Linked DNA regions of Arabidopsis thaliana. The protein of the gene in region 3 purifies or fractionates together with the protein of the main gene of each other region. This does not show direct contact. Each region holds a gene or a part of one and is shown on either strand. Other genes may lie near its edges.

Evidence for each region.
Region 1: the proteins of AT3G55070 (region 3) and AT4G09250 fractionate together in Arabidopsis thaliana (co-fractionation; one large-scale study listed by BioGRID). This does not show direct contact.
Region 2: the proteins of AT3G55070 (region 3) and AT4G09310 fractionate together in Arabidopsis thaliana (co-fractionation; one large-scale study listed by BioGRID). This does not show direct contact.
Region 4: the proteins of AT3G55070 (region 3) and AT1G32730 fractionate together in Arabidopsis thaliana (co-fractionation; one large-scale study listed by BioGRID). This does not show direct contact.

Annotation. Positions count from the first base shown.
Region 1 is NC_003075.7:5,873,181-5,880,601, forward strand, and holds AT4G09250 (SPla/RYanodine receptor (SPRY) domain-containing protein), read left to right. Parts: upstream 1-3,397; 5' UTR 3,398-3,506; coding exon 3,507-3,766; intron 3,767-4,104; coding exon 4,105-4,263; intron 4,264-4,419; coding exon 4,420-4,555; intron 4,556-4,705; coding exon 4,706-4,782; intron 4,783-4,855; coding exon 4,856-4,997; intron 4,998-5,140; coding exon 5,141-5,209; intron 5,210-5,591; coding exon 5,592-5,798; downstream 5,799-7,421.
Region 2 is NC_003075.7:5,899,206-5,906,763, forward strand, and holds AT4G09310 (SPla/RYanodine receptor (SPRY) domain-containing protein), read left to right. Parts: upstream 1-3,607; 5' UTR 3,608-3,743; coding exon 3,744-4,003; intron 4,004-4,341; coding exon 4,342-4,500; intron 4,501-4,656; coding exon 4,657-4,792; intron 4,793-4,942; coding exon 4,943-5,019; intron 5,020-5,092; coding exon 5,093-5,234; intron 5,235-5,377; coding exon 5,378-5,446; intron 5,447-5,535; coding exon 5,536-5,592; intron 5,593-5,663; coding exon 5,664-5,750; intron 5,751-5,828; coding exon 5,829-6,035; 3' UTR 6,036-6,244; downstream 6,245-7,558. Other genes in the region: AT4G09300 (LisH and RanBPM domains containing protein), read left to right, coding at 1-33, 609-715, 797-916, 991-1,147, 1,357-1,484.
Region 3 is NC_003074.8:20,405,441-20,413,362, reverse strand, and holds AT3G55070 (LisH/CRA/RING-U-box domains-containing protein), read right to left. Parts: upstream 5,090-7,922; 5' UTR 4,987-5,089; coding exon 4,666-4,986; intron 4,305-4,665; coding exon 4,110-4,304; intron 3,936-4,109; coding exon 3,813-3,935; intron 3,669-3,812; coding exon 3,474-3,668; intron 3,204-3,473; coding exon 3,070-3,203; coding exon of another isoform or gene 3,066-3,069; exon of another isoform or gene 2,928-3,065; coding exon 2,741-2,927; intron 2,578-2,740; coding exon 2,476-2,577; 3' UTR 1,999-2,475; downstream 1-1,998. Other genes in the region: AT3G55080 (SET domain-containing protein), read left to right, coding at 20-60, 145-225, 501-536, 698-781, 964-1,097, 1,329-1,417, 1,500-1,648, 1,738-1,887; AT3G55060 (CAP-gly domain linker), read left to right, coding at 7,141-7,427, 7,553-7,922.
Region 4 is NC_003070.9:11,838,507-11,845,634, forward strand, and holds AT1G32730 (electron carrier/iron ion-binding protein), read left to right. Parts: upstream 1-2,403; 5' UTR 2,404-2,570; coding exon 2,571-2,692; intron 2,693-2,985; coding exon 2,986-3,047; intron 3,048-3,330; coding exon 3,331-3,418; intron 3,419-3,636; coding exon 3,637-3,739; intron 3,740-3,841; coding exon 3,842-4,450; 3' UTR 4,451-4,802; downstream 4,803-7,128. Other genes in the region: AT1G32740 (SBP (S-ribonuclease binding protein) family protein), read left to right, coding at 6,377-6,429, 6,511-6,605, 6,694-6,950, 7,043-7,128.

The DNA.
Region 1 (7,421 bases), on a different chromosome or scaffold from region 3:
TCGAAAAAGCCAATCACGTCTCTAGAAAACGTGCAGGCATCCTTTCCGGTGCTTCATCGAAGATCTTTGCTGCCACCCTAACCCGTAGAACCTGGATATTTGCATCAGTAATGCCATCAAAACAAACACCAAGCAATAAATATTCAAGAATCTTTAACGCGTAAACGCCGCAGTCCCCTCTGATATGATTTTGCGGGACCTTTTTCTTGTCCCTCCGCCGGAATGAAAATTGGTCGTATTGCGGGGTACGGACTTCGGAAGGAAACAGTTCGTTAATCATCTGTGGAATCATCCTCGTGAACGGCCTACAAACTTCCAGCATCTTTCCATCGATATCGTCTGTATGCTCTCCGACGATGCAATCATAGCAATCGATGTGAGACCTAAGCAAGTTCACGTGAAGGGTCACCCAATGATTACCTCCGGTTTGGTGGATAATATACAAGTGATCCACATCTGTTATCAACTTCTTCCGTGTTGCCACTTCTCTTCTCATACCGTTAATCCACTATTGATACGCGGTGTCTTTGAAAAAAAAACTCTTCTGTTAGATCTTGAACTGATTGTAATCTGTAACCTAATAAATCGTGAACCACGGGTCTAGAATTATGACGCGTTCGTTGTGGTATGGGCAGGGATCTCGCTGGAGCCTCCGGGCGAGGACTTTCATATACGCAGCAATATGCTGTACAAAAATAAAACCAACCCAGACAAAAAAAACAACAACATTAACTCACCATTATCTACTTTAACTCAGGCAGAACAATACCATAACTTAGACATAACCAACTACAACTCAGTCTGCACACCAGAATAAACCAGCTATAATTTATTTAACTCAGCCTAAACAACACGATAACTCAGCCATAAAATAGACAACCTCAGACAGAATATAACAATAACTTACTTCATCACCCAACCATCCATAATTTGAATCTGGCCATAACTTTCTTTCGGTCATGAAAACTCCGTAGAAATCAACCTCGTCTATTCCATTTTCCAACGATTTTTTGCTAACAAATAATAAAAGAAAGTTAATATACACAAATAGTGTAAGCATGTCGTACTTAACAACTTATTAAGGTATAAAGGGTCATACATGTCGAGACTTGACAAATAATCCTTAAGTTTCTGCATGCAATTTGGACTCAGAATCAACTGGATGAAAAAACAGTCTATGTGTATCCACGCATGAATGATTTTTCCACTGGCCAGCTCATATACCGACCAGAATGATTCTTCTTCCCTTTCAGCAACTAACGGCTCTGCAAAAGGGAACATATATAGTGATATATAACTGATCTGTCGCAAGAACATGATGACCATTTCTTCCTAGTGAGTATTTTGAGTGAGGGGGGAGTTTTTAGCCTTGCTCTTATGATTTAGGGATTTTCTTATTCATGACAATATTGGACCCCTAGGTAGTACTAATAACAAGAGAGGGTTTTTGTTTTCAAATGTTGGTTTACTGGTTAGGCTTTTATTCTCCACCATGGTATGGTTCCTATAAAGCTACATAAGAATTCATTTTGAAGTTTGTTTGGTGTGTGACCGAAGAACCAAAAAAAAAAAAAACAGTTGCTCATTCTTTGTCTACTTATCTCACTATTCGGCAATGCATATACGTCCTAATCTTTGTTTTGCTTATCTTAGTTATTCTATCTCTCTCCCTTACCTAAAAAGCTGGCTTCAAAGGACTTGACGGATCGTTTATAAAACAGACTAGTCATAAACATAGATTTATATTCGAGATGGCTTCAAATACGAATCTTAAACTGTTTATAGTATATATAGTATCTAATAGCTGCGGGTGTTGTGAAAGGGAACTTAGTGTTGACCATGGTCATGGAGTTTAACCAAGAAGTTTGTTGAACCAAGGATTCACACAATAGATTTGTTTAGAGAGGGAAAACAAATCTAGTAATTTCTCTTCATTAGGTATTCTATCCAAGACTCGATTACAAGAGGGGTTCTAATCTCTTATGAAATACATTAGGGTTTTGCTCAAGAACAGAAAAAGAATTAGAGTTTTAAAAAGGTATAGCTGCATCCATGATGGATTGCCTACGTACCCTGTGAAGGGATCAAGCCATTCGTAGTTTTCAATAGGTATAAAGTTCTATGTTTCTTGTGAATATCCCAAGATCTCCCCCTTTTTGTGAAGTCCCTAAGGCACTTTATATAGGATCCTTAAACCGCCTCCCTAGCGATATTCTTCGGAAGATTCTTATTTATCCTTAGGTCGGTTCTAGAGGATAATCGTCCTAAGGATATTCTCCTTATTCTTCGGAGGTTTTGGGGAGATTTCCTGATTTCGACATTATCTTCAAAGATTCTCCTTTATCATTTCTGAAAGTCCCATAAAAGATCCCATTTTACCGGAAATGATCCTTGGAGAATGAATGGTTTTTACAAGTCTTTGCCTCGCGTGTTCTTCACGGCTCGGTGGTCGTTTGAGAGGTGGCTTCGGGGCAAACGGTATGTACCGGCTCGGGGCGCGCTTGATGACTGTCCATTAAGCTCAGTTGGCTGTCTCCCGAGCCGATATAGATGTTTCCCGCAGCGTTCTCACGATTGGTTCGGGCTGTGTTCATATGATTAACACCCGAGCCATTTTACAAACTCTCTTCGGGACGGTCGATCGAATAAGGTCCCGAGGTGCTTTGTTCTAGGCTAGGGGCCAATCATATGTTTAACCATGAGGTGATTGTTATTCTTAGACTGTTTGGCTCGGTCTTGCTTGTGGGGGAATCCGACCCCAACAAAGTTGTACCTTGACGGAAGAGAGCACGAATGGGATCGGTGCGGGTGTCTGGAAAGTGCCTGAAGAAGGTTCATGTGATGATCAAACTCTGGAATGCTACTGGGAGTACTGACTGTACCAAAACCTCCTCCAACAGTGCCACAGGGAACAAGCAAGCCCCATATCAATGTGTGATGAAGTTGAAGGAGCAGGGTCGTAAGGTGGACTTCCACAGTTAGAAGGAGGCTTGTGTGATGGAGGAGCTCCATATCCTTCGTCATAGTACTGATTTCCGGATCTGAATAAAGAAGCATGGCATCATTTGGAAGTAAGAGATCACATGAGAATACCATCCCTAGAACCGAGAGAGAAAAGTTTATGTTAATAAATTTTTATTGTATAATTGATATTGAAAAACATTAATAAACATTAATAAACAGTGTTCACATAAGGTGTAAATTCACCCCAAAAGCACTCTAAAAAGTAAAAACCAAAAGAGAAAAAAACATAGAAATGGTTACTTAATAATATACCGAGTTTCATCTATTTACTTAATAATATACGGTTATTTGATTTACCGGTTAACTAAAAAATATCTGGTTTAATCGTATTTATTGTTGGCAAACACAACATTGGGCGCGAAGTGGTTTTTGATGCCCTTCAACAACATTTGGGGGTTTCATTTCAATCGCATTTCTAGGGTTTCTTTCTCTACGATTCAATAGATTCGGACGAATTGGGGGATTCTGACCAGAGAGAAGCTATGGAGGAAAACGAAGAGGAAGAAGAATTGCGGCCAACGGCGCTATACACGGTCGGTGGTTCAGACGAATTTACCTTTGTTTCTCCCGATGGGCTCTCCGGTCAATACACGGGCCCTGATCACGACGGCGTAGTTCTTCAGACTGAAAATCCGGCGCCGACTAACTGTCTTGCTTACTACTTCGAGGTTCATATCATGAATGCTGGTGAAAAAGGAGAGATCGCGATTGGTTTCTCCAAGGAACACATCTATAGCGAAGGGTATCGTTTTCTTTCCCTTTCAATTCGCATTTACCACTTATTGCGTGATTTGATACTCAATACAATCATTGATTCTGTTTGATTTGGTACCTGAGACTGAGAGAACAAATTGGGAAATAGGTTTAGATACAATGGTAGATCAGTAGTTCAAATCACTGTTTCAATGGTTTGGATTCGTTACTTGGAAATAGGTTATGTGATTTGCTGCTCAATTTGATTGTGTTGGCTGTTAGATCTGGTATCTTACAAGTTAATGGGAGATTTGCTTTGTTAGATGTTTTCACCTTTCAGTAATTAAGCATTCCAATTCACTGTTTCATGTTTCTCTGTAATGTTAGATATACTGTCAGAAGCTGTGCCTACATTGGTAACAGTGGACTCATATGCTCTCAAAATGGAGATGGTGATCGAACTGTTGCTAAAGCCAGTGACACCTATACAACAGGTGATTTAGTTGGTTGCGGTATAGACTCGGTTTCACAAGAATTCTTTTTCACGTAAGTAATAACTGTTTCCCTATCTGAACATGTTTCATTACAATTGGAAAAGTAGATATCAAGATACACAATTCATTTCTTCATGTCACAATGTTTTTGACATGTCCCTGCGTATGTTTTACTTGCTGACATCTATGACTACTTCTTTGATTATAGGAAAAATGGAACTATCGTAGGGACAATCCCCAGGCAATTTAGGCGTCCTGTATACCCGACAATTGTTTTGCATAGCCAAAACGAAGCTGTCACTGTCAATTTCGGCGGACAGATTGCGTTTTCTTTTGACTTTGAGGTAAGGTCGTACTTTTCTTTTCTTGCATAGTCGGAGAATAACTATTGAGTAAGCAGAATAATATGCATCTCTCACATATGTCCATATTTGCATGTATGTGGCATATTTTTCTGATACAATATTCTATTATCTGATCCACCTTTATTTCAGCATTTTGAAGAATCATTGAGGGTTAAAAAAGAAAGGGAAATTGAAAAGATTTCCATGTCTCGCAGCATTAGTCATGGGTAAAGTGTCTTTTCCTGCCTGTTCTTAATTGTAATTCTTGTTTCTGTTTGTGCTAAAGCTTCCTTTTTCCAGGCTTGTAAAAACCTACCTTCTTCGTTATGGATATGAAGATAGCTTTAGAGCTTTTAACCTGGCTGCAAGTCGTCATACTGTTATTGCACAAGAAAATAGTTTTGATGAGTATGAATTGCATCAAAGGAAAAAGCTCAGAGAGGTACTTTTCACTGCTATGGTTATCTTGCTGTAATTTTTTTTTTATTTTTTTTCTGTGAGGTACAAAATCAACCAAAAGCAAGCTACATTGCTACATCTTTTCTGTTTCATATCGAACTGATCCATGCATTCTGTTTGTTAAAGCTTATAATGACTGCTGAGATTGATGATGCTATTGCTGCACTCAAGGATAGATATCCCCAACTTATTGAGGTGGGCTGAGTAACTAGTTAATATATCGAGTGATTCACATTGTTAACATTCCTTGAACTATTTTAACAAGCTGCTTGTATCATATGCAGGGTGGATCAGAAGCTTATTTTCTTCTTATCTGTCAAAAGATTGTCGAATTAGTACGGGTATGTTCTTTATTCCTTGTATATTTGTTACACATATCCATGGTGTGTTTCTCTAACTAACTACAATGCAGAAAGGAGCAATAGCAGAGGCTAAGTCATTTGGAAATCAAGATTTTAAAGACTTTAGGGATTCAAGCCTACTAAAAAACCTTTTCGATGTATGTAGTGATTCTCTAACTGTTAGATTAGGTTTCTCATATTTGAGTCACTAATAGTTTTGTTTTTCTCTATTTCAGGATTGCTCTGCTTTGTTCGAGTGTGAAACTATAGAAGAATCAGGTGCTGCATATCTTCTAGGAGAAACACAGAAGAACATAGTAGCAGCTGCAGTCAGTGAAGCGATTCTATCTACAAATCCGGCCACCAGAGACCAGCAATCTGCTTCACTTGAGCGAGTGCTTAGACAGTTTGAAGCCACCTGCTCACTCTATGCTCGTGAATAAAATCTTGACTTTTTCTGTTTTTCTTTTTATCTTTTCTCTTGATAGAGTCATTGTGTAAGCTCAAATGTTCTAAAACTAGCGATCATACTTTAACTTGATTCACAACTATATACGAGATTATATTGGAGCTTGAAAATTTTTATTTACAAGTATTTATCTACAAATCGGCAAATATTGAGCTGCTCATACTAATTTTGATAATTTAATCGGCTACAAATTTTAATGACATGTTGTTGTTAGCTGTAAGTTAAAATATGAAATCGAAAGTCTTTTGTTTATTGCTTTCAACTTAAGCCTTTGTGATTACAAGCTATGTCTATTTATACATCTAGATTGATTTAACCTAGTGTCTTCTTGATTTGCATAGCTGTCACTTGGCTGTTATGTGGCGTCGTTGTCTTCACATGATTCAAGAGCCTCATAGCGATTCCTCGTCGTTACTTCCGTACTGCGTGGAGATAAGGACCGCTCTGCAACTTTTCTGCTTTTGTCCTTTGTTGTTGCAGGTTGTCGTTGCACTATGTTGGGCTTGGCTCTTGGATTGGGCACTTGTTTCGGATTGGGCTTTAATGGTTTTGAGCCCAATTCCAAAACTGTGTCGTTTGGAGCTGTTCTGTTGATACTCCCCCTCAAACTTGGAGGAGGTGGGAAATCGACACCAAGTTTGAATCGGAGAGATTCGAAAGGAGCCTTGGCGAGAGACTTTGTAAATATGTCAGCGAGCTGTAGATAACCCGGGATATGATGGACGATGAGCTCACCAAAAGCTACCTGCTCTCGGACATAATGATAGTGAGTTGCAAAATGCTTTGTCCGAGCATGAAACGATGGATTCGCTGTAAGGTAAACGGCAGAGAGGTTGTCGCAGAAGAGTTCGGGGAGCTGTAACTGCGGAACACCCAGATCACGAAGTAAATTGACTAGCCATGTGATTTCCGAGGCTGTATCGGACATAGAGCGATATTCAGCTTCGGTTGAGCTTTTGGCGACTGAGACTTGCTTTCGAGAAGACCAGGAGATTAGATTGTTGACAAGAAATGTACAGAAGCCACCGGTGGAGCGACGTGTACCATGACAACCGGCGTGATCACTGTCACTGTAAGCTCGCAGTTGACAATCTGTGTCCTTGTTGAATGAAATTCCCATGGTTGTTGTTCCTCTGATGTACCGGAGAATCCTTTTGAGGAGAAGAAAATCCGACACTGTAGGGGCGTGCATCTTTTGGCACACGTAATTAACAGAGAATTGGAGGTCCGGTCTAGTAAGTGTGAGGTAGTGCAGCTTACCAGCCAAACTTCTGAAATATGATGGATTGTCGAAGGGCTCGGTTTGATTAGGTGCTCTCTCAGGTTGAAGTGGCAATGGTGTTGCAACAGGAGAACAGTTGGATATTGTAGTTGTAGCTAGAAGATCTTCTGCATATTTCTGTTGAGAGAGAAAAAGACCTTTTGGATGAAATTGCGCCTGAATACCAAAAAAATAACTGAGTCTGCCCAAATCTTTCATCTTGAACTGCTTATTGAGCTCATTAAGAAGACTGGAGAGAAGTTTTGAGCTATTTCCTGTGATGACCATATCATCAACGTATAGAAGAAGCATGATCACATCCTTGTTCTTTACGTA
Region 2 (7,558 bases), on a different chromosome or scaffold from region 3:
CTGAGAAATTCAAAGAGGAGTCTATAACTATGCGTATCCTCTCTGATGATGATTCATGTTTAAACTTGTGAAAGAAATTTCTTTGATTCTTTCTTGTTCTGATGATGGTGATGATGATGCTTGTGAAAGTCTGGAAGAAATTTCTCAGATTCGTTCTTTTATGGTGATGATGATGCTTGTGAAAGTCTGAAAGTAATTTCTCAGATTCTTTCTCTTATGATGATGATGTGATTCGTGTTTAAATTATATGATGATGCTTGTGAGAGTGTGAATGAAATTTCTCAGATTATTTCTCTGATGATGATTCGTGTTTAAACTAGTGAAAGGAATTTATTAGATTCGTTCTCTTCTGATTCGGATGATGATTCATGTTTAAACTTGTGATTTGTGTAAGAACTTTCTCAGATTCGTTCTCTTCTGATGATGATGATTCTTGTTTAAACTTGTAAAAGAACTTTTGTTAGATTCTTTCTCTTCTGATGATGATGCTGCTTTAAAAGTGTGGAAGACATTTCTCAGATTCGTTCTCTTCTGATGGTGATGATTCAAGTTTAAACTTGTGAAATAACTTTCTGCTTTCAGTTCTTTTTTCCTTTAACCAGAAACAGCAGAGGAAGATCTTGCTAGCATGAATGAGCGATTGGAGGTGATAAAAGCTATCGAATCCCGAAATCTCGAGGATGCAATTGAGAAGTTGAATGCACTAAACCCTGAGGTATATGGAGTTTCCTAAGTGCTTAAGAGAAGAAATAGTTGGATATCTCATTACTTGTTTTTTGGTTTTTGGTGTTTGTAGATTATCAAAACAAGTTTTCACCTCCACCAGCAAATGTTGATCGAGTTGATCCGTGAGAAGAAGACCGAGGAGGCTGTTGCGTTTGCACAGGAAAAACTCGCGCCACTAGCTGAGGAGAATGTGAGTCTTTAGCAGATTCATCTTATAATAGGAGATTGGAACTGGTCATAAACAAATTCTGCAATCTTATGCAGGAGGCCTTACAAAGAGAACTGGAAAAAACAGTGTGTATACTCGTTACTGAAGGTCTCCCTAACTGCCCGTCCAGGGAGCTTTTCCACAACTCGCAGTGGATTAGGACTGCTAGCCACGTAAACGAAGCAATCCATACAAGCCAGACTGGAGAAAAAGGTATATGGCTATACTTTTTACTGACACAGAAAGTGAAAAATAATGAGCTTATCTACCAAAAAACAGAACCAGTTGTTTATGATGGCCAAAAGTGTCATAATTACAGTCCCTAGTTGCTCTCATGTGTCTTTCAGATTTCCAGCTCTTGAAACTTTGTCAATGTACCAAGTGAGATGATGATGATGTTATGTTTTGTGAATTGTCAACAGGTCCTGAATTGGAGCGCTTGTTGAAGGAGCTGATTTGGACTCAGAATCAACTGGATGAAAAAACAGTCTATGTGTATCCACGCATGAATGATTTTTCCACTGGCCAGCTCATATACCGACCAGAATGATTCTTCTTCCCTTTCAACAACTAACGGCTCTGCAAAAGGGAACATATATAGTGATATATAACTGATCTGTCGCAAGAACATGATGACCATTTCTTCCTAGTGAGTATTTTGAGTGAGGGGGGAGTTTTTAGCCTTGCTCTTATGATTTAGGGATTTTCTTATTCATGACAATATTGGACCCCTAGGTAGTACTAATAACAAGAGAGGGTTTTTGTTTTCAAATGTTGGTTTACTGGTTAGGCTTTTATTCTCCACCATGGTATGGTTCCTATAAAGCTACATAAGAATTCATTTTGAAGTTTGTTTGGTGTGTGACCGAAGAACCAAAAAAAAAAAAACAGTTGCTCATTCTTTGTCTACTTATCTCACTATTCGGCAATGCATATACGTCCTAATCTTTGTTTTGCTTATCTTAGTTATTCTATCTCTCTCCCTTACCTAAAAAGCTGGCTTCAAAGGACTTGACGGATCGTTTATAAAACAGACTAGTCATAAACATAGATTTATATTCGAGATGGCTTCAAATACGAATCTTAAACTGTTTATAGTATATATAGTATCTAATAGCTGCGGGTGTTGTGAAAGGGAACTTAGTGTTGACCATGGTCATGGAGTTTAACCAAGAAGTTTGTTGAACCAAGGATTCACACAATAGATTTGTTTAGAGAGGGAAAACAAATCTAGTAATTTCTCTTCATTAGGTATTCTATCCAAGACTCGATTACAAGAGGGGTTCTAATCTCTTATGAAATACATTAGGGTTTTGCTCAAGAACAGAAAAAGAATTAAAGTTTTAAAAAGGTATAGCTGCATCCATGATGGATTGCCTACGTACCCTGTGAAGGGATCAAGCCATTCGTAGTTCTCAATAGGTATAAAGTTCTATGTTTCTTGTGAATATCCCAAGATCTCCCCCTTTTTGTGAAGTCCCTAAGGCACTTTATATAGGATCCTTAAACCGCCTCCCTAGCGATATTCTTCGGAAGATTCTTATTTATCCTTAGGTCGGTTCTAGAGGATAATCGTCCTAAGGATATTCTCCTTATTCTTCGGAGGTTTTGGGGAGATTTCCTGATTTCGACATTATCTTCAAAGATTCTCCTTTATCATTTCTGAAAGTCCCATAAAAGATCCCATTTTACCGGAAATGATCCTTGGAGAATGAATGGTTTTTACAAGTCTTTGCCTCGCGTGTTCTTCACGGCTCGGTGGTCGTTTGAGAGGTGGCTTCGGGGCAAACGGTATGTACCGGCTCGGGGCGCGCTTGATGACTGTCCATTAAGCTCAGTTGGCTGTCTCCCGAGCCGATATAGATGTGTCCCGCAGCGTTCTCACGATTGGCTCGGGCTGTGTTCATATGATTAACACCCGAGCCATTTTACAAACTCTCTTCGGGACGGTCGATCGAATAAGGTCCCGAGGTGCTTTGTTCTAGGCTAGGGGCCAATCATATGTTTAACCATGAGGTGATTGTTATTCTTAGACTGTTTGGCTCGGTCTTGCTTGTGGGGGAATCCGACCCCAACGAAGTTGTACCTTGACGGAAGAGAGCACGAATGGGATCGGTGCGGGTGTCTGGAAAGTGCCTGAAGAAGGTTCATGTGATGATCAAACTCTGGAATGCTACTGGGAGTACTGACTGTACCAAAACCTCCTCCAACAGTGCCACAGGGAACAAGCAAGCCCCATATCAATGTGTGATGAAGTTGAAGGAGCAGGGTCGTAAGGTGGACTTCCACAGTTAGAAGGAGGCTTGTGTGATGGAGGAGCTCCATATCCTTCGTCATAGTACTGATTTCCGGATCTGAATAAAGAAGCATGGCATCATTTGGAAGTAAGAGATCACATGAGAATACCATCCCTAGAACCGAGAGAGAAAAGTTTATGTTAATAAATTTTTATTGTATAATTGATATTGAAAAACATTAATAAACAGTGTTCACATAAGGTGTAAATTCACCCCAAAAGCACTCTAAAAAGTAAAAACCAAAAGAGAAAAAAACATAGAAATGGTTACTTAATAATATACCGAGTTTCATCTATTTACTTAATAATATACGGTTATTTGATTTACCGGTTAACTAAAAAATATCTGGTTTAATCGTATTTATTGTTGGCAAACACAACATTGGGCGCGAAGTGGTTTTTGATGCCCTTCAACAACATTTGGGGGTTTCATTTCAATCGCATTTCTAGGGTTTCTTTCTCTACGATTCAATAGATTCGGACGAATTGGGGGATTCTGACCAGAGAGAAGCTATGGAGGAAAACGAAGAGGAAGAAGAATTGCGGCCAACGGCGCTATACACGGTCGGTGGTTCAGACGAATTTACCTTTGTTTCTCCCGATGGGCTCTCCGGTCAATACACGGGCCCTGATCACGACGGCGTAGTTCTTCAGACTGAAAATCCGGCGCCGACTAACTGTCTTGCTTACTACTTCGAGGTTCATATCATGAATGCTGGTGAAAAAGGAGAGATCGCGATTGGTTTCTCCAAGGAACACATCTATAGCGAAGGGTATCGTTTTCTTTCCCTTTCAATTCGCATTTACCACTTATTGCGTGATTTGATACTCAATACAATCATTGATTCTGTTTGATTTGGTACCTGAGACTGAGAGAACAAATTGGGAAATAGGTTTAGATACAATGGTAGATCAGTAGTTCAAATCACTGTTTCAATGGTTTGGATTCGTTACTTGGAAATAGGTTATGTGATTTGCTGCTCAATTTGATTGTGTTGGCTGTTAGATCTGGTATCTTACAAGTTAATGGGAGATTTGCTTTGTTAGATGTTTTCACCTTTCAGTAATTAAGCATTCCAATTCACTGTTTCATGTTTCTCTGTAATGTTAGATATACTGTCAGAAGCTGTGCCTACATTGGTAACAGTGGACTCATATGCTCTCAAAATGGAGATGGTGATCGAACTGTTGCTAAAGCCAGTGACACCTATACAACAGGTGATTTAGTTGGTTGCGGTATAGACTCGGTTTCACAAGAATTCTTTTTCACGTAAGTAATAACTGTTTCCCTATCTGAACATGTTTCATTACAATTGGAAAAGTAGATATCAAGATACACAATTCATTTCTTCATGTCACAATGTTTTTGACATGTCCCTGCGTATGTTTTACTTGCTGACATCTATGACTACTTCTTTGATTATAGGAAAAATGGAACTATCGTAGGGACAATCCCCAGGCAATTTAGGCGTCCTGTATACCCGACAATTGTTTTGCATAGCCAAAACGAAGCTGTCACTGTCAATTTCGGCGGACAGATTGCGTTTTCTTTTGACTTTGAGGTAAGGTCGTACTTTTCTTTTCTTGCATAGTCGGAGAATAACTATTGAGTAAGCAGAATAATATGCATCTCTCACATATGTCCATATTTGCATGTATGTGGCATATTTTTCTGATACAATATTCTATTATCTGATCCACCTTTATTTCAGCATTTTGAAGAATCATTGAGGGTTAAAAAAGAAAGGGAAATTGAAAAGATTTCCATGTCTCGCAGCATTAGTCATGGGTAAAGTGTCTTTTCCTGCCTGTTCTTAATTGTAATTCTTGTTTCTGTTTGTGCTAAAGCTTCCTTTTTCCAGGCTTGTAAAAACCTACCTTCTTCGTTATGGATATGAAGATAGCTTTAGAGCTTTTAACCTGGCTGCAAGTCGTCATACTGTTATTGCACAAGAAAATAGTTTTGATGAGTATGAATTGCATCAAAGGAAAAAGCTCAGAGAGGTACTTTTCACTGCTATGGTTATCTTGCTGTAATTTTTTTTTTATTTTTTTTCTGTGAGGTACAAAATCAACCAAAAGCAAGCTACATTGCTACATCTTTTCTGTTTCATATCGAACTGATCCATGCATTCTGTTTGTTAAAGCTTATAATGACTGCTGAGATTGATGATGCTATTGCTGCACTCAAGGATAGATATCCCCAACTTATTGAGGTGGGCTGAGTAACTAGTTAATATATCGAGTGATTCACATTGTTAACATTCCTTGAACTATTTTAACAAGCTGCTTGTATCATATGCAGGGTGGATCAGAAGCTTATTTTCTTCTTATCTGTCAAAAGATTGTCGAATTAGTACGGGTATGTTCTTTATTCCTTGTATATTTGTTACACATATCCATGGTGTGTTTCTCTAACTAACTACAATGCAGAAAGGAGCAATAGCAGAGGCTAAGTCATTTGGAAATCAAGATTTTAAAGACTTTAGGGATTCAAGCCTACTAAAAAACCTTTTCGATGTATGTAGTGATTCTCTAACTGTTAGATTAGGTTTCTCATATTTGAGTCACTAATAGTTTTGTTTTTCTCTATTTCAGGATTGCTCTGCTTTGTTCGAGTGTGAAACTATAGAAGAATCAGGTGCTGCATATCTTCTAGGAGAAACACAGAAGAACATAGTAGCAGCTGCAGTCAGTGAAGCGATTCTATCTACAAATCCGGCCACCAGAGACCAGCAATCTGCTTCACTTGAGCGAGTGCTTAGACAGTTTGAAGCCACCTGCTCACTCTATGCTCGTGAATAAAATCTTGACTTTTTCTGTTTTTCTTTTTATCTTTTCTCTTGATAGAGTCATTGTGTAAGCTCAAATGTTCTAAAACTAGCGATCATACTTTAACTTGATTCACAACTATATACGAGATTATATTGGAGCTTGAAAATTTTTATTTACAAGTATTTATCTACAAATCGGCAAATATTGAGCTGCTCATACTAATTTTGATAATTTAATCGGCTACAAATTTTAATGACATGTTGTTGTTAGCTGTAAGTTAAAATATGAAATCGAAAGTCTTTTGTTTATTGCTTTCAACTTAAGCCTTTGTGATTACAAGCTATGTCTATTTATACATCTAGATTGATTTAACCTAGTGTCTTCTTGATTTGCATAGCTGTCACTTGGCTGTTATGTGGCGTCGTTGTCTTCACATGATTCAAGAGCCTCATAGCGATTCCTCGTCGTTACTTCCGTACTGCGTGGAGATAAGGACCGCTCTGCAACTTTTCTGCTTTTGTCCTTTGTTGTTGCAGGTTGTCGTTGCACTATGTTGGGCTTGGCTCTTGGATTGGGCACTTGTTTCGGATTGGGCTTTAATGGTTTTGAGCCCAATTCCAAAACTGTGTCGTTTGGAGCTGTTCTGTTGATACTCCCCCTCAAACTTGGAGGAGGTGGGAAATCGACACCAAGTTTGAATCGGAGAGATTCGAAAGGAGCCTTGGCGAGAGACTTTGTAAATATGTCAGCGAGCTGTAGATAACCCGGGATATGATGGACGATGAGCTCACCAAAAGCTACCTGCTCTCGGACATAATGATAGTGAGTTGCAAAATGCTTTGTCCGAGCATGAAACGATGGATTCGCTGTAAGGTAAACGGCAGAGAGGTTGTCGCAGAAGAGTTCGGGGAGCTATAACTGCGGAACACCCAAATCACGAAGTAAATTGACTAGCCATGTGATTTTCGAGGCTGTATCGGACATAGAGCGATATTCAGCTTCGGTTGAGCTTTTGGCGACTGAGACTTGCTTTCGAGAAGACCAGGAGATTAAATTGTTGGCAAGAAATGTACAGAAGCCACCGGTGGAGCGACGTGTACCATGACAACCGGCGTGATCACTGACACTGTAAGCTCGGAGTTGACAATCTGTGTCCTTGTTGAATGAAATTCCCATGGTTGTTGTTCCTCTGATGTATAGGAGAATCCTTTTGAGGAGAAGAAAATCCGACATTGTAGGGGCGTGCATCTTTTGGCACACGTAATTAACAGAGAATTGGAGGTCCGGTCTAGTAAGTGTGAGGTAGTGCAGCTTACCAGCCAAACTTCTTAAATATGATGGATTGTCGAAGAGCTCGGTTTGATTAGGTGCTCTCTCAGGTTGAAGTGGCAATGGTGTTGCAACAGGAGAACAGTTGGACATTGCAGTTGTAGCTAGAAGATCTTCTACATAATTCTACTGAGAGAGAAAAAGACCTTTTGGATGAAATTGCGCCTGAATACCAAGAAAATAACTAAGTCTGCCCAAATCTTTCATCTTGAACTGCTTATTGA
Region 3 (7,922 bases):
ATAACTTGTTGCTGGACAGTGGGATCTCGTGCGTGGGAAAACTCAAAACGCATATCACTGGTATTGCTTTCAATTTAGCTCTGGCATCTTTCCAGATTACTTATGGTGAATTCTGGTACGATAGATGTTCTAACGATATAACAGATTCCGTTTGCAGACTTCATGAACCATGATGGGCTTTCTGCATCAATCGTTTTGAGGGATGAAGACAATCAACTATCAGAGGTTTACTTCCATTCCTGTTATTTAATATTCTGTGTTCTCTTCGTCAAGGGTTTGTGCACATCTACTTGATATACAATCTAACCTCCATATCTCATATTCCATACATCAACTAGAGTGAATCGACATCAGCATAATCTTATTGTTAAATATGTGGTACATCGATCTAGTAAAATGCATGGTTTTTTATTCCGTATTACTTTCTCTTGACTCTAAAGGCTTGCAACACAGACTGAAACAAGCCAGTACATTTTGATTTCAAGTTTTCAACTTTGCAGGTCACTGCAGATCGCAACTACAGTCCTGGTGATGAGGTAAGATTATAACACGATGAGATTCACTTCTCAGAGGATGCATTACTTATTTCTTTTAATAATCACTAGATTCTATAAGAATGTTATTTTTGTTGAGGTCGATCTCAGTGACTGGTTAAAACTCATGGGCTTGTTGAAGCTTACCAAATATCTCTGTGTAGGTATTCATCAAGTATGGGGAATTCTCAAATGCTACACTCATGTTAGATTTTGGATTTACCTTTCCTTACAACATTCATGACGAGGTTTGTTTTCTAATATCATGACCGTAGCCGTAACAACATTGATCTATAGATGTTGGATTGAAGATGCTACTCACCAACCTTGAACTTGATTGTCATTTAATTGACTGAATGGGATGTTGAAACTTCACACAGTCATTATCTAAGGATTAGTATCAAACTGATACTGCTGCGGTGACTTATAGGTTCAAATCCAAATGGATGTACCGAATGATGATCCTCTTCGCAACATGAAGCTGGGACTTCTCCAGACACATCACACTCGAACTGTCAAAGATATCAATATCTTTCACTCTTCTTGTGATACTTTCACAATCAAGTAGGTATTAAAGTTTAGCTTTAGAATGTTACCAAGCCATTACAAGTTCTTAACTGCTTACATATCAATATCCGTACTCAAAGAATGGAAACATGGGAGATAGTAAGAAAGCAGTTAAGAGTGATGTGAACAGTGGATAGGAAAATACCAATGAACCTACTTCTTTAGAATTGGTTTCAGTAACAGTGCTTTTTACATGTGTATCTAAGTGTACTTTTGGTGATCTCTCAGGGAAGTGAAATCTGCTATAGGGAAAGGAAAAGGCATTCCACAATCTCTCCGTGCATTTGCTCGTGTTCTCTGTTGTATCATTCCCCAAGGTGCTCAAATCAAATTAGTCACTCTCTTTTATCATCTTGCGAGGCTAATTCCAAAAGTATTAACAGTATAGTTGATTCTCAGAGCTAAATGATTTGTCAAAAGAAGCTGCACAAAATGATGGCCGACTAGCTCGGCTTCCTTTTAAAGACGGGAACAGAGAGTTGGAGGCACATAAGATCCTCTTGTCTCACATCAACAGATTGATTGAGGATCATAGTGTTTGCATCAAGGTACTATAGAACGCTTTACTCAACTAATTTCCACACAATGACTGACAATGTAGGTTTTGAAAAACGTTTATTGGTGGGTGCCTTTGCAGGAAATGGAAGAATGCTATTTTGTATCACAAAGATTTGCTGTTAGAAGGCAGATGGCAAGAGATCTCCTATACGGTGAGCTTCGTGTACTGAGATCTGCAGCTGAATGGCTCAATCATTATTGCACAACCTTGCTTTCAGAGACAATGTAATCGATTTTACAGTCTCTACGATAGCAATATACCAATAAATTGAGATATTGGAGTGAATAAAAAGATTAGTGTTACTCTATTTCTTAATCCGGAATTATACCTCGTTCCATTTCCGAAGCCAACAAACAAAAGAGAAATGATGAACATGTTGAATCAGGATGGTATCCAAATAGATGAAACCAGACAGAACCAAATTATACACCTCAAGTGAGGAAACTGATAGTAGAATCGGAACTGTGGTTTGTGAAATGGTAGTGGGACAATAAAGTGTACTTTGCCGGTTGATTTATACAGAAACTACTAGTGGATAAGAAGAAAAACATGAATAAAAATATCAGAGCAAAGCAGCCAAACATGTTTCCACTAAAACCATGTTGACTAGAAAATTGTCATAAGACTGAAATGAAGAAATGGCTTGATATACAAAGGAACGAGCTGTTTCTAAAGTGATGCAAAGTTTTATCTGCAAGTGCATATTCACAAAGAGTAATGGAGAAAGTTGGAAATTTCAGTTTCTTTGGCCTTAATACTGTCCTCCCAGTCATCCATTGAAAAGGTGACCAAAGTGAGGATTATGAGCATATGGGTTCATGATATATATGCCTTAACTAACTCCGTGTAGTTGCAGACAAGCCCTGTCCTTGGACATGTTATTTTACCTCCATTCTTTTCCGCCATTTCCTTGAGAGCCTGCAAGTTCATTTACCCATCAAATAAATAAAAAAAGTAACCCAACTTTAAATTTTTTGAACTGTATAGGATAGACTGATGTAACTGATCAAGCTAATAGAAAAAGATTCTAAAAAGAGAAAAAGAACAGAGAAGCTGAAGTTGTACAAGAACAGAATCAAACCTTGGTGCTGTAGACGTAGCCATTGGGCAGCACCTGTGGTGGGTTCTCTGTGTCCATTAGCTCCTTAGAAATATAGCAAACAAGCTTTGAATGGTGCTGCTTGGAGAACGGTAAAGGCAAAGCTAGCTTCCGAAAGTTCTCTTGTGAGAGAGGGTCCTCTTTGGTACAACCTTCTTCTAAACCATATCTGAGTCATATCAAGGTACAAACGCAACCCACCAGTAAGAATCACATTAGGGTGTCATTTCGAAAACTTACTTTCTGCCCCTTTATCAGATGCAGAAAATAGACAATCAAAAACATCAATTTTGATAGAGTTTGATCGTTACGGAGTTTTCAGCGCAGACAAGCCTGCCTGTAAGTAGATGTTCAATAAGGGTTCCATCGTCATGCCATATAACTTGCAAAATTCTTGTTTAAACTGATCAACTAAAACATCCCACTGTCGTAGTTCAAACAAAACCTGAGAAAAAAGAAAAACATATCTGTTAGTTGATTAGCCTAAATACATGCAATGATCAATTAAGATTCGACAAGAGTTGAAAGTAACACAACTAATTCGGCAATAAACAAAGACGAAAAAGATTACTGAAGCAGCCTGGTGTATGAAAGAAACAGTGAAATCTATATCCACGTTTTTGGGCCATTTCAGACAAAATCAATCATTAGGAAAAGATACAAGTTGAAGCGTCAATTTTCAACAGTTATATAATCAAAAGAAGGAAAACTTCACCTTATATTTTGAGCATTCTGTGGTACTTTTAAAAGCCAAAGTGGCCAGAACATGCTGCAATTCTTTCATATGGGTTGTTCCCCATGATGCCAGATGCTTTCGAGCATACTGGATTGCTTTTTTGTAGCTCTCAGCTGTATCAACTCGTACCAACTCGATGAATTCTTGCAGCCTTAGTTGGAACTCAAATTTGCTCTGTTATGAAAAGGAAAATATATAATTAGCAATGAACAATTATACATAGAGTTCTGGTAAAAAATTGGATACTTTAGCCAAACCACATGGAGTTCATAAAAAATGAAAGTAAAACTTAACCATGAGAGTACATAGAGCACGTACCTTTGACTTTTTCAACCGCGTTTTGTTATCAGCACACCATGTCAATGCAGAAGCTACCTCCCTATTTTTAAGGGCATCAATCACCTTCTTAGCTTCTCGAAATATGTCAATGTCGACAAGGTCCTGAAAAGATGAGATATTTATAATTAGCATTTCATAGAGATGCAGTACAAATCAACAAATCTGTTTCACTGCTTGTAAAAACGAAACAGCAAAGAATATGTTCTGATATATTAACCAAGACAGCAATATAGCATAATAGTGTGATATAATGAGTGTCAAGAGGATGAGAGAAACCATAATATTGCTGCTTTCCGAAAGCTTTGTAGCAGTCTCGAAATATGACATCCGCAGCATGTAGTCTACAAGAATCCGTTTCAGTTTGGTATTATTCCATTCAGTAATATTTTCCACATCTACTGAATCCAAATGATCGATGCGAGCACGACATCTCTGGGCTTGCAAATTCTCCACATTGCTCCCTTCTTCCAACTGAGATACAAAACCAAAAAAATACGTAAGCCAGGCCATATCCATGTGATGTTACTCCAGAAGATATAGAAACTATCCCAAATGATAAAAATTTAGAAGACAATGCAAATAGTCAGATGGGAAGTTCCAATGAACCAACTCCACCACTACATTGAATTCATCGAGATCCAATGTCTAGTGAGACATAATTGCCAAAGACAGATACTTTACTTTGATCTTCAACATCGAAGATCAAATTTTTTACAGATAAGTGGATATCATTTAGCAAAATCAGAAACTTTAATCGCTAAATTAATTGATTCAGTTTCGTCTACATAATTTAAAACACCGATCACAGAGGGAGAGAGACGGAAAAATCAACCTTTCGTTTGAGGCCTTGTAATCGAGTAACAAGGCAAGTAAGACGCGAAACGGTATCGTCTTTAGACCAATCGGAATCAGCCAATTCTCCGACGCCGTTAACAATGGTTGAGACCTCTTTCTCGAAAGAACGGTGATTGGTACGGATCGTCTTCTTGTAATGCTCGAAAGGAACGCGGAGGAGCTGGTGCTCAAGCTTGAGAGATTCCGTAAATTGATTCGATCTCGAAGACGAGACGACGACCGGCGACGGAGTGATCGTAGCGGCGGATTCCGTCATGACGGTGTCAGAGTTTCCGTTGGTGGCGGAATCGATTTCCATGGCAAGAAAATGGGAGGAAGAAGTTAGCAGAAATTTTGCAGAGAGAGTTTAGATTTTGCCTTGTGGTGGTGATCTTGATTGATTGATATATGTATGAGAAGAAAAAAAACTACAGAAGAAATAAATAGTGCCAAGTGAAACGGCGTCGTTGGTTTGTGGTACTCTATAGTTCAAAACGACAGCGTTTGAAAAGGTAGGAAACCGTCCGGTCTGATCTAATCCCTAACCGAGAGTATGTTTTGATTTTTGGGCTTTGTCATTTTAGTTTGCAGCAACGTTTGATCCAGTACCAGGTCCAGTTGATGAAACAAAAATAGTCTAGGATTCCCAATTTTTGATTAATATATAACTAGTCTATACAAAATATTAATATACAGATATTTTTAATTATTAAAAACCCTTTTTTTACTGAAATTAAATTTACCTTGTGAAAAAATATCTCAAAATAAAGTCTTTTTTTTTTTGGGCTTTCAAAATATTAGGACTGATCGTGATTATACCTAATATGTTATGAGTAAAACTAAAATATGGCCAAAGTATCAATGCAAAAAAAAAAAAAAAAAAAAAATTTAACACATGATGTGTGGTCAATATATAATTCCAAGTGTAAAAAAACTATATATAGATAATATTTTATTTATAGAAAATATAATTATAAATATATGATGTCAGATTTCTATCTAAAATAACGCATTACTTCTCTTTTATATTATTTCAATTTATTACGGGCAACTATGTGTCGAAATACTATATGTATTGTTTAAATACTAGGTGCTATTGCCAAACATAAAGAAGAAAAATAAAGCATGAAAGTAAATTGAGAAATAACCTTATCATTTTTGTTAGATTTCTCGACTTTTATACCAAATTTATAATTATATAATTGATTATGAGCGTAGTTGGTAATTTATAGTATTAGGTATGGTGGTATACATACACCTTCCCGGTCTCAAAGCTTATCAACAACAAAAACGGTATCATACCAACAATTCTTATCGTTATCACTTCAAAACTGTATCATAATTACCTCATATCACTCAAACCTATATATTTTATTATACTTATCTTAAAACAACTAAATACCCTACATTTAATTTGTAATTTACAAGTTTTTCCAATGTTGTTATTGATCACTGTTATGTGTTGTTAGTGAAAAACAAATAATTGTAGCCCCGCTCCTCCAAAAGTCCAAATGGCTCTATCCGCCGCGCAATGAAAGATTTAAAAAGGTTACCAGAAATACCCTTCACTGGATACTCTATTTACATTATCACACCGCCAATAAAGATTTTTGGAGCCGTTTTGTTCTTTTGGATTCTTCGTCGTCAACGAGACACTCTCACACTTCTTGCACTTCTCCCTTTAGATCAAATCCACGTTATCTAGCGCTGTTATTAAATCTGCGTTTCAGTTTCTTCTCCATTCGAATTTTCGATTTGCAAAATCGCTGTTTTATGGTATGTTCATAAATTCTAAAGATCTTCCCTTTTGAAATTTTAAAATTTTTCTCTGTGTTTCTTTGGTTTTCTTTAAAGCCAATTGTGTCGTCATAAAAAGCTGTCGCCTCTCAGTGTTTTTTTTTCCTTTTTCTTTCAATTTTCCAACTATTAGAAGAGAGTAGAGAGAGTAGAGTTGGATTTTCTGGCGACGAAATCGATTGAGATCGTTTAAAGAGAGAGCCTTTCTAGATTTTGTTAGTGTTCGAGTAATCTCGCCGAACATAATCTTCATCAACTTCTCCGCAAGTAGGATTTAGGTTCGATTTGTGATTTGATTAGTCTCTAGGGTTTATCGTAGCTTTGAAGATGCTTAGGGTAGTCTGGTCTTTTATTTTAGGCCTTGGCTCGATGTTTACTATGATAAGTCTTGAGTTTCTGAATCTCTGAGTAGAGTTATAGTTGATTATCTCGAGTCTAAGATCATTTATGCTGTTTTTTCTCATTTCTTTTGTTGAACTGGTTTATCTTTCATCGAGCAAATTGTTTGTAAGATTCACTTGGAGCACTTTTTTTGGAGATTGACATGAACTAATTTGCTGCAAAATGTGAACTTTTCCTAGTTTAGTGCAGGAGATATCTTACAATCTATTGATTTGCTTCTATATGTTTTGATTGCAGCTGCAGTTGTTATAGCACCTTTTGATTGGAGAAAACAATGAAAAAGCTCTTCTTTTTCAGATCTTCTGGTAATGGAAATGATAAACAAGTTAACTGCGAAAAAGAAGCGGATAGTAAGATGAGAACCCAAGCTAGTAGTCAGGCTGAACAAGAGTTCGATAGTCCTAAGTCACATGGTCAAGTTTCTGGTGGTCTAGCTCTTAGACGAAGCCTTTCATGGTCCTCTGCAGGTTTCCTTTTTGACAAGTTTGGAGAAACTTCCAAGAATGAACTAACAACTAGTGCTACTAAAAGCAAGGATAGGCGGCGCAATCATTCATCTCGGTATGCTTTTGGCCTTTCTTCATTCTTATGAGATTGTTTTGATGATTTTCTGTAATGTTTTCGCTATCTTGGTTCTATATTTGATTAAACCACTGACAAACAATGTAATGAATACTGTGTACCAGATGCTTTACTCCAGAAAGACAAGTTAGAGAAAGGCAGTGTAAAGCAGACAAGTTTCAGCATGATTCGTCTGGGAGTTCATCATCTTGTTCGAGTAATGTCTCTAGTAAAGTTCTGGACCGTTATATTGATGGAGAAGAGCATTTGGAACCGTGCAAGCAAAAGAGTAATTCTTCACACAGTGGTGTTTCTGAGAGTATAAATCGAAGGAGGCTTCCACCCCGAGTTCAATGGACAGTCCCTACATCACCATCAGACACTTTCGATGAGAAACGAAAGTCCCAGTCATTTAGAGAAGCTAAAGGCACCCATTTACGTTACTCTTCTGCTGATTGTGTGGATAATGGGTTGCGGCATGGATCGCCTCGTTCG
Region 4 (7,128 bases), on a different chromosome or scaffold from region 3:
AACATCAACATCAATAAAAAAGCAAACATACTTCTGGCTTTAAATTTTGAAAACTATAAATTCACATTTTACATAGAAATACTCCAAGATACTGTTCTCAAGATCCAACTAAGAACAATAAGTTAAAAAGGACTTCAAGGGAATTGACTTCTATATGCTTTTTTTTCTCTGCCAATTTATTAATACTTTGAAACTTTGATCTAAAACTAACATGTGGTATCAGAGCTTCTATATATATAGAAGCTTTAATACCCAATGTTAGGTCTAGATTGAAGCTACAAAGTACAAGTTCATTGGCAGAATTATTCATTGTGGCTATTAATCAATTTTAACATTTTTATATACACATCACTCTTGCCAACTAGATCCACAAAAGATCCTACAAAAAAGGAATTCAAATATATTTTGGAAAATCAAGTCCTTACTTGATAAGGACGATTCTTGCTCCTTTAATTTGTTAACAAGAAAAAGAAAAAATATCTCATATCTCGGATTAATACCTCACAAACCGACCGATTTATGTATTTCTGATTTGGTTTAAGTTCAGGTTCAATTTATAGAGAAGTTGGATTAAAAAATAACCAAGGCCTATGTATTAATGTTTTTTTTTGCAAGATTATGCGCTAGGTTGCATGGAAACTCGCTCCGAGGTGCGTTTCTCGTTTCCGAAACGTTTCGGAAACGGAAACTCTCCGGAAATACGAAAAACGTCACGGAAACGCGTTTCCTAAAAATCTAGGTTTAGAAACACGATGGAAACTTACGTTTCCAAAATAGAAACTCACGTTTCCGAAATAGACATACGACAAATCTTTTTTATTGACTTTAAAAATTTAATAACTAAAATTGAAAATATTAAAATTATTATTACATATAAATAATTTTGGAAGACTTTGAGTTTTAAGATCTTTCTTTTGTTAAACCAGATTTGAAAAGAGCTTTATATTATCTTTGATAAAACTAATGAAAATGTTGGTCTAAATTAACTATTTGAACTTGAACCTTTTAATTTTTATCTTTTAGAATTTTAGTTTATTTATTTAATATTGATATTTTGGACTTGTATTGTTTAAATCATTTTTTCTTTAATATAGTTTTATGTTAATGTTATATATATATATATAATGTTATATATATGTATAAATGTGTATACGTTTCCAAAACGTTTCCAATCCCTAATTTTAAGAAAAAATCGTTTCCCGTTTCCGAAACGTTTCGTATCCGCATTTCCGTTTCCGTTTTCATGCAACATAGATTATGCGAATGATTGCAATTTACAAGTAACAACTTGAGAGATGTACGTTCACTATGTCGCGAAGAATTGGTGAGGAAATCTTTCGTAATATTTTGTTATCCAATGGTATTTATCTCGATTGTAATCGTTAAATCATGAATGGATGGTTAAATATTTACCAAATAAATAAAAAGAAGAAGAATAATTAAAATTTATATATTGGTGAGCAAATATTATTATTCCGATTAAATTATACTTTTTAATTGTTGTTTTGTAAAATTGTTCAGTTCTGTTTTGTTTTGTAGTCTCTATTATCATCAGAGTTGTTTAGTTTGATCGTCGTGTGGACTCTTGACAGTCCTCATAGTCTACTAAATCTAAAACCAATGATAAATCAACTAATTAATTAAATAATCATGTCTATAAAGTATAAACTATATTTTTATGTGTTAACCCATCCAAATCTGCAAGTCCATACAAATTGACTCTAAATATATTGAAGCTGCAAAATCAGCCAAGTACAAAATTGACTCTAAGTATATTGAAGCTGCAAAATCAGCCAAGGTTACGCAATATAATCATATAGCGATCGATGCATCAGAATAATAAGTTAGAAAGCGATATCAATTGCAAAATAGTATAGAGTAGTATAAAAATATGAAAACACTCTGAAGTTGAATGCACCAAAATCTAAATGCATTGTTTTGTCTGCCAAATTGACTTCTATCTAGAAGCTTCTAGTGTGAAGCTCTGATACCACTTGTAACGTCCAAATCAAAGCTTCGAGTTACAAGTCAATTAGTAGAATGATTTATTGTTTTTGTTTCTTTTACTTATGAAAAGACTCTAAAGCAAAGCGAAGGAAGAGATGAGGAAGAAAAAGATTTGCCCAAACGGCAAACACTAAATTATTTAGATTGATGTTCTATTGTTCATATGAACAATAACGTCTATATATATGTGAATCTGATTCGATAGAATAACCTAATTACTTGGGCTTTTTTTGGGCTTATATTGATTTATCTGACAAGTCTGATCCCGGATAAAGTTCATGATTTGGTTAAGTTCGGTTCAATTTAAAGAGAAATTATATTGGGCTTTAAAACCCAGGCCCATATAAAAACGACTCACGTGGTATTATTAATAACCGGAGCCCTAGACCCGCCGTGAAATCGAGCGATTGAGAGCACTTCGCAAAATCAGAGCGACAAAAAAAAATAAAAACCAATCCTTTCGATTCCAAATTTTTTGTTACTCACTCGCACGAGTTTTATTTGGTCGTTAGTTATCTCTTTCGTTGAATAACGGTTTTAATTTAAACCGTTACTTTTTATCAATGGCGACTTCGTCACCGTCTCTGAGTAACAATGGTCTTTCCTCCGTCGTCACGCCTCCCAAAACTCTCCGTGGTCTCAATAAGCCTAAGTGTATTCAATGCGGCAATGTAGCTCGCTCCAGGTATTGCTTCTACGCATTGTTTCATCGAAGGACTTAGGTTTTTTACATCTGGGGTTTCGATTTATGGATTGTTCTTGGGTTTTTGATCTGAAAGGATTCGAATTTGTCTTGTATAGTACTTTTTCGTTTTGATTTAGGGTTCATAGGTTTGTGGGTTTGGGTTTTTATTCATGATTTGGTGATTAATCTGTTGGAGATTGTTTAAAGTTTTGAGCTTTAGTATCGAAAGATCAGTTTTTTGAGATTATTGGTGAAGTAATTGTAATTGTATTGCTTGGATTTGATAAATGCAGGTGCCCTTTTCAATCTTGTAAGGGTTGTTGTTCAAGAGCAGAGAATCCCTGCCCGATTCACGGTATGTTTGCCCTGTCAAATCTCAACTTCATAATTAGCTAAAGTGATCAGTTTTAGAGTTTAGTGTTGATAACTTTGATTGGAGAGTTCTATTCTTTCACTTGGTAAGTTTAGAGTTTAGTATTCTTGACTTCTATAGGGTTCGTTTGGTTGTCTCGGGACAAAAAAACCTATAAAGAACCATAAGACTGATTCTTGGAATGTGCTTGTGATTAGCTGAGAGATATAGAGATGTTATCATGGACTGTTTTGTGTTTCTTCTTATGTGTTTTATTTCGCTGCAGTTCTTAAAGTAGCTTCAACGTCTGGTGAGAAGACGCAGGCGCCAAGTACTCCATCTTCAGAGCAGAAAGCAACCGAGGGCACTCCCGGGTACATATATATAAACTAATTTTCTGTTTTGTTTGTGCTTCCATGGGCAAGTGAATCTTAGATGATAAACCGGTGTTTGCTTACTAATACTTTGATAGGAGATTCTTCAGCTTTCTTGTTTTATTGCACGTAGTTGATAGTGAGATGATATATTGGTCTTGTGGAACTAAAATATGGCGCTTTATGTTGACGTTTTCTTCTTTTGGAAATTGTTTCAGGAGTACCACTAGAGTTTCGTCAATCCGGCAACTTTCTAGCAACTTTGCTCAGTTTAATAACCTGAATGCTTCTTCCCGCCAGAGAAAACCTTTGACGATAAAGGTATACTAATTAAGACGTCTTTCATTGACTTTAGTACTCTATGAAAAATCTCCATTTAGTTGTTTTCCTCTTATCAGTTTTTGTTCTGTCTATATTCTATAGGATGCTCAAGCTTTAAACGAGTGGCGGTTTACAAAGCTAAAAGAGTACAGAGACAGAAACATTGAAGTAGAAAATGAAGCTTTTGATCGGTACATGAGTAATGTGAATTTACTCGAAGAAGCATTTTCATTTACATCTGTTCCTGATGAAGAGAGTCATGGAACAGCAGCTCCTGAGCAAAACAAAGAGGAAAATATTGTTTCAGAGCTTAAACTGAGGCTGAGATCGAACTCTGCAAGAACAGAGAGCTTTAAGAAGCGGATCGCGGAGACAGTCAAAGCCGGTTTGGTGAAGCTTAAGAGACTGGATTTAGGCAGTTCTTCAGATGATCAAGATGATATCAAAAGGCGGGTCAAAAGAAAGAAATGGGAAGAGAAAGGTTCAGCTTTGAATGAAATAATCGATAAACTGAACAAAGCAAGAACCGAAGAGGATCTCAAATCTTGCTTAGAGATGAAATCAAAGCTCTGTGGTCAAGTTTCTCCCACTGCTGCTTCCGAGAAGAACAAGATCTTTCCGGGTGTAGTCCGAAAAGTTGAGATGAGTGAAGAAGCACTTCAAAAAATCGCTGAGAATCTCCAATCTTTTGACAAAGTTGGAATGTTGTGAAGTCGAGAACATCCTGTGGATGAACTGAAAAGTTTGAGTGGCAAGAAAATTTCTAGATCCTTCGTGACCACGGTATTGTACAATGATCAAACATCCCTCAAAACTGATCCTGAAGACTCCAAAGACTCAAGAGATTCTTGTAAAGTAGTGTTGAGCATCATTTAGATATTAGAACTCAGCCATGGATAAAGCTGTTGATTCTATCTCATTGGATTTTTTTCACTGTGTGTTGTTGCTTTGTTAGATTTGAAATTGCTCATTGGATTACCTTTGACTTAATAAATAGTTGGTTTGGTTTGGTATTGGATAACCGCTCAGTCTAATTAGACCGGTTTGTTTTTTTGGAAAAAAATGAATCCATCCATCCATAGGCCACTTTCAACACGTATATTTGAAAACGACTAAAACCAAACTCTTAGATTCTAGTTTTGTTTTGCTGCCCCAATTCCACTATTGATCAAAACATATCCAAAAGTTTTTGTGGAACTAAAAAGTAAAAATAACGTTTAGTTTGTTTCCAATTTCAACCATATATATCTTATTCATATATGCATGTTGTGGTTGTCTCGTGTGTGTAGTATTCATTTACATTATGCAAACCAACTGGAAACATGTTGAATGGGTTATGGGTTGGTGGTTGGGACTTGAGGATCAAACAACTCAAATGAGCTCATTATAAGTTAAGCTCTCAATAATCATTAATTTATTTTTGTTACCACCTAATATTTCTACGAAGGGTTGGTGTAACAATTTTTAATTGTAAGATAATTGTGTAATCATTTTCAATATTAATTTTTATTATGTATTTATTTTAAAAAGTTATATAATACGTAACACATTTAGTACTTGGTTTTGGTAGCTTCATCAATGTACCATCCGAAGTTCCAAAAAATAAAAAAAAATGTCGATTTCACCGTTGGTGAAAAAGAAACTAAATTGATATGTATTATTCATTTTTTAGAAGAGATTATGGGTTTAAATCTGAAACTTCTTAGTTAAATTTTTAATTAATTTATTTATTTTGCATGCTTTATTATATATTTGAAATTAGAATCTACATGATTAATGATTTTTTTCTCAGATAGAATAAAAAATATATTTACTGATAAATTATTCTTTTACATCTTTCCGGATTCGCTACTAATGTGTTTTTGTTAACTTTAACCAGATTGCTTATGGATTATGATATATAGTATCCATTACTTAAAAAGTAAAAGAGATGAAAAACCAAGAATAATTAATGTCACCAAACTATCAACAACAACAAAAAGAGAGTGTAATATTCAAGATAAACGAATCCTATTATATAAAAAAAGGTGGGAAGAAGTTGCTGTCTAATGATGTAATTATGTTAACTAGTGTGCTAAGGAAAGAAATCAAGCAAGTCTCACACATACACATGTTATGACTTATGATTAGCGACAAGCATTTCATTTTATTTTATTTTTGCTAAGCAAACCTTTTGTTTAGTAAAATAGACAATGTGCAAAAAATTCCAAACTTCTTAAATTGAAAAAAATACTATATTTAAATTTACCTTTTTAAGTAAGAAATTAAAAGATTTTGTAGTACACTACATGTTTTAAAACAACCACTATCCAAACAAAAACTTGGTCACCGAATAAACTGTAGAAATATCGATTTCCGTCATTTAAATTCACTTTATTTTTGGTTGTTTTTTTCTTGGAATATGCAAGAGTAATGGCGTGGTTGAAGACACGAGAGAGAGAGAGAGAATCCTAAAGAAAAAGCCAAAGCATATTAAGAAGAAGAGAACCAAAACGAACAAACCCAACCCTAAAGAAACACTATTATTAAACCTATATTTATAGACATTTAAAGAGAGAGTGAAAGGTGCAGAAGAAAACAGAGACAGAGTTCAAATACCTTAAGATCACATCATCATATAGCTTTTGTATCATTAAAATGGCAGTTCAAGCTCAACACCATTCCTCCAATCTCCTCTTCCTCAATAAAAGGTTCATTTTCTCTCTGTAAATTCATTATTTGCTTTTAGTTTTGCTTATTGATTACGGTTTTATGTTTCTTTGTGTGAACAGAAACGGGAAAGAGAAAGAACATAGTAATTTTACATTACAATCACAAGCAGCTGGAGATTTTCTTGATCAAACCAATATGTTATTCAACAATGGAAGTTCGTAAAAGTTCTCTTGTTTTTTCCATTAAAATTTACCAAAATTAGGAGACAAAATGAGAATGTGTGTGTATGTCTCTTATTATAGGTTCTAATCAGAGAAAAAGAAGAAGAGAAACGAACAATCATCAGTTATTACCTATGCAGTCTCATCAGTTTCCTCAAGTTATAGACTTATCTCTATTACACAACTACAATCATCCACCGTCGAATATGGTTCATACAGGACTCCGATTATTTTCCGGCGAAGATCAGGCACAAAAGATTAGTCACCTGTCTGAAGATGTTTTTGCTGCACATATCAATAGGCAAAGCGAAGAACTTGATGAGTTTCTTCATGCCCAGGTTTTGATTTCGTACGAGACGATTTGGGTTACGCAAAAGTTTTGATTTTGTTCTCATCGGAAAAAGTGTAAAACTTTTTTTCTTTTGTATAGGCGGAGGAGCTACGGCGTACATTAGCGGAGAAGAGGAAGATGCACTATAAAGCGCTTCTTGGTGCCGTGGAAGAGTCGTTGGTTCG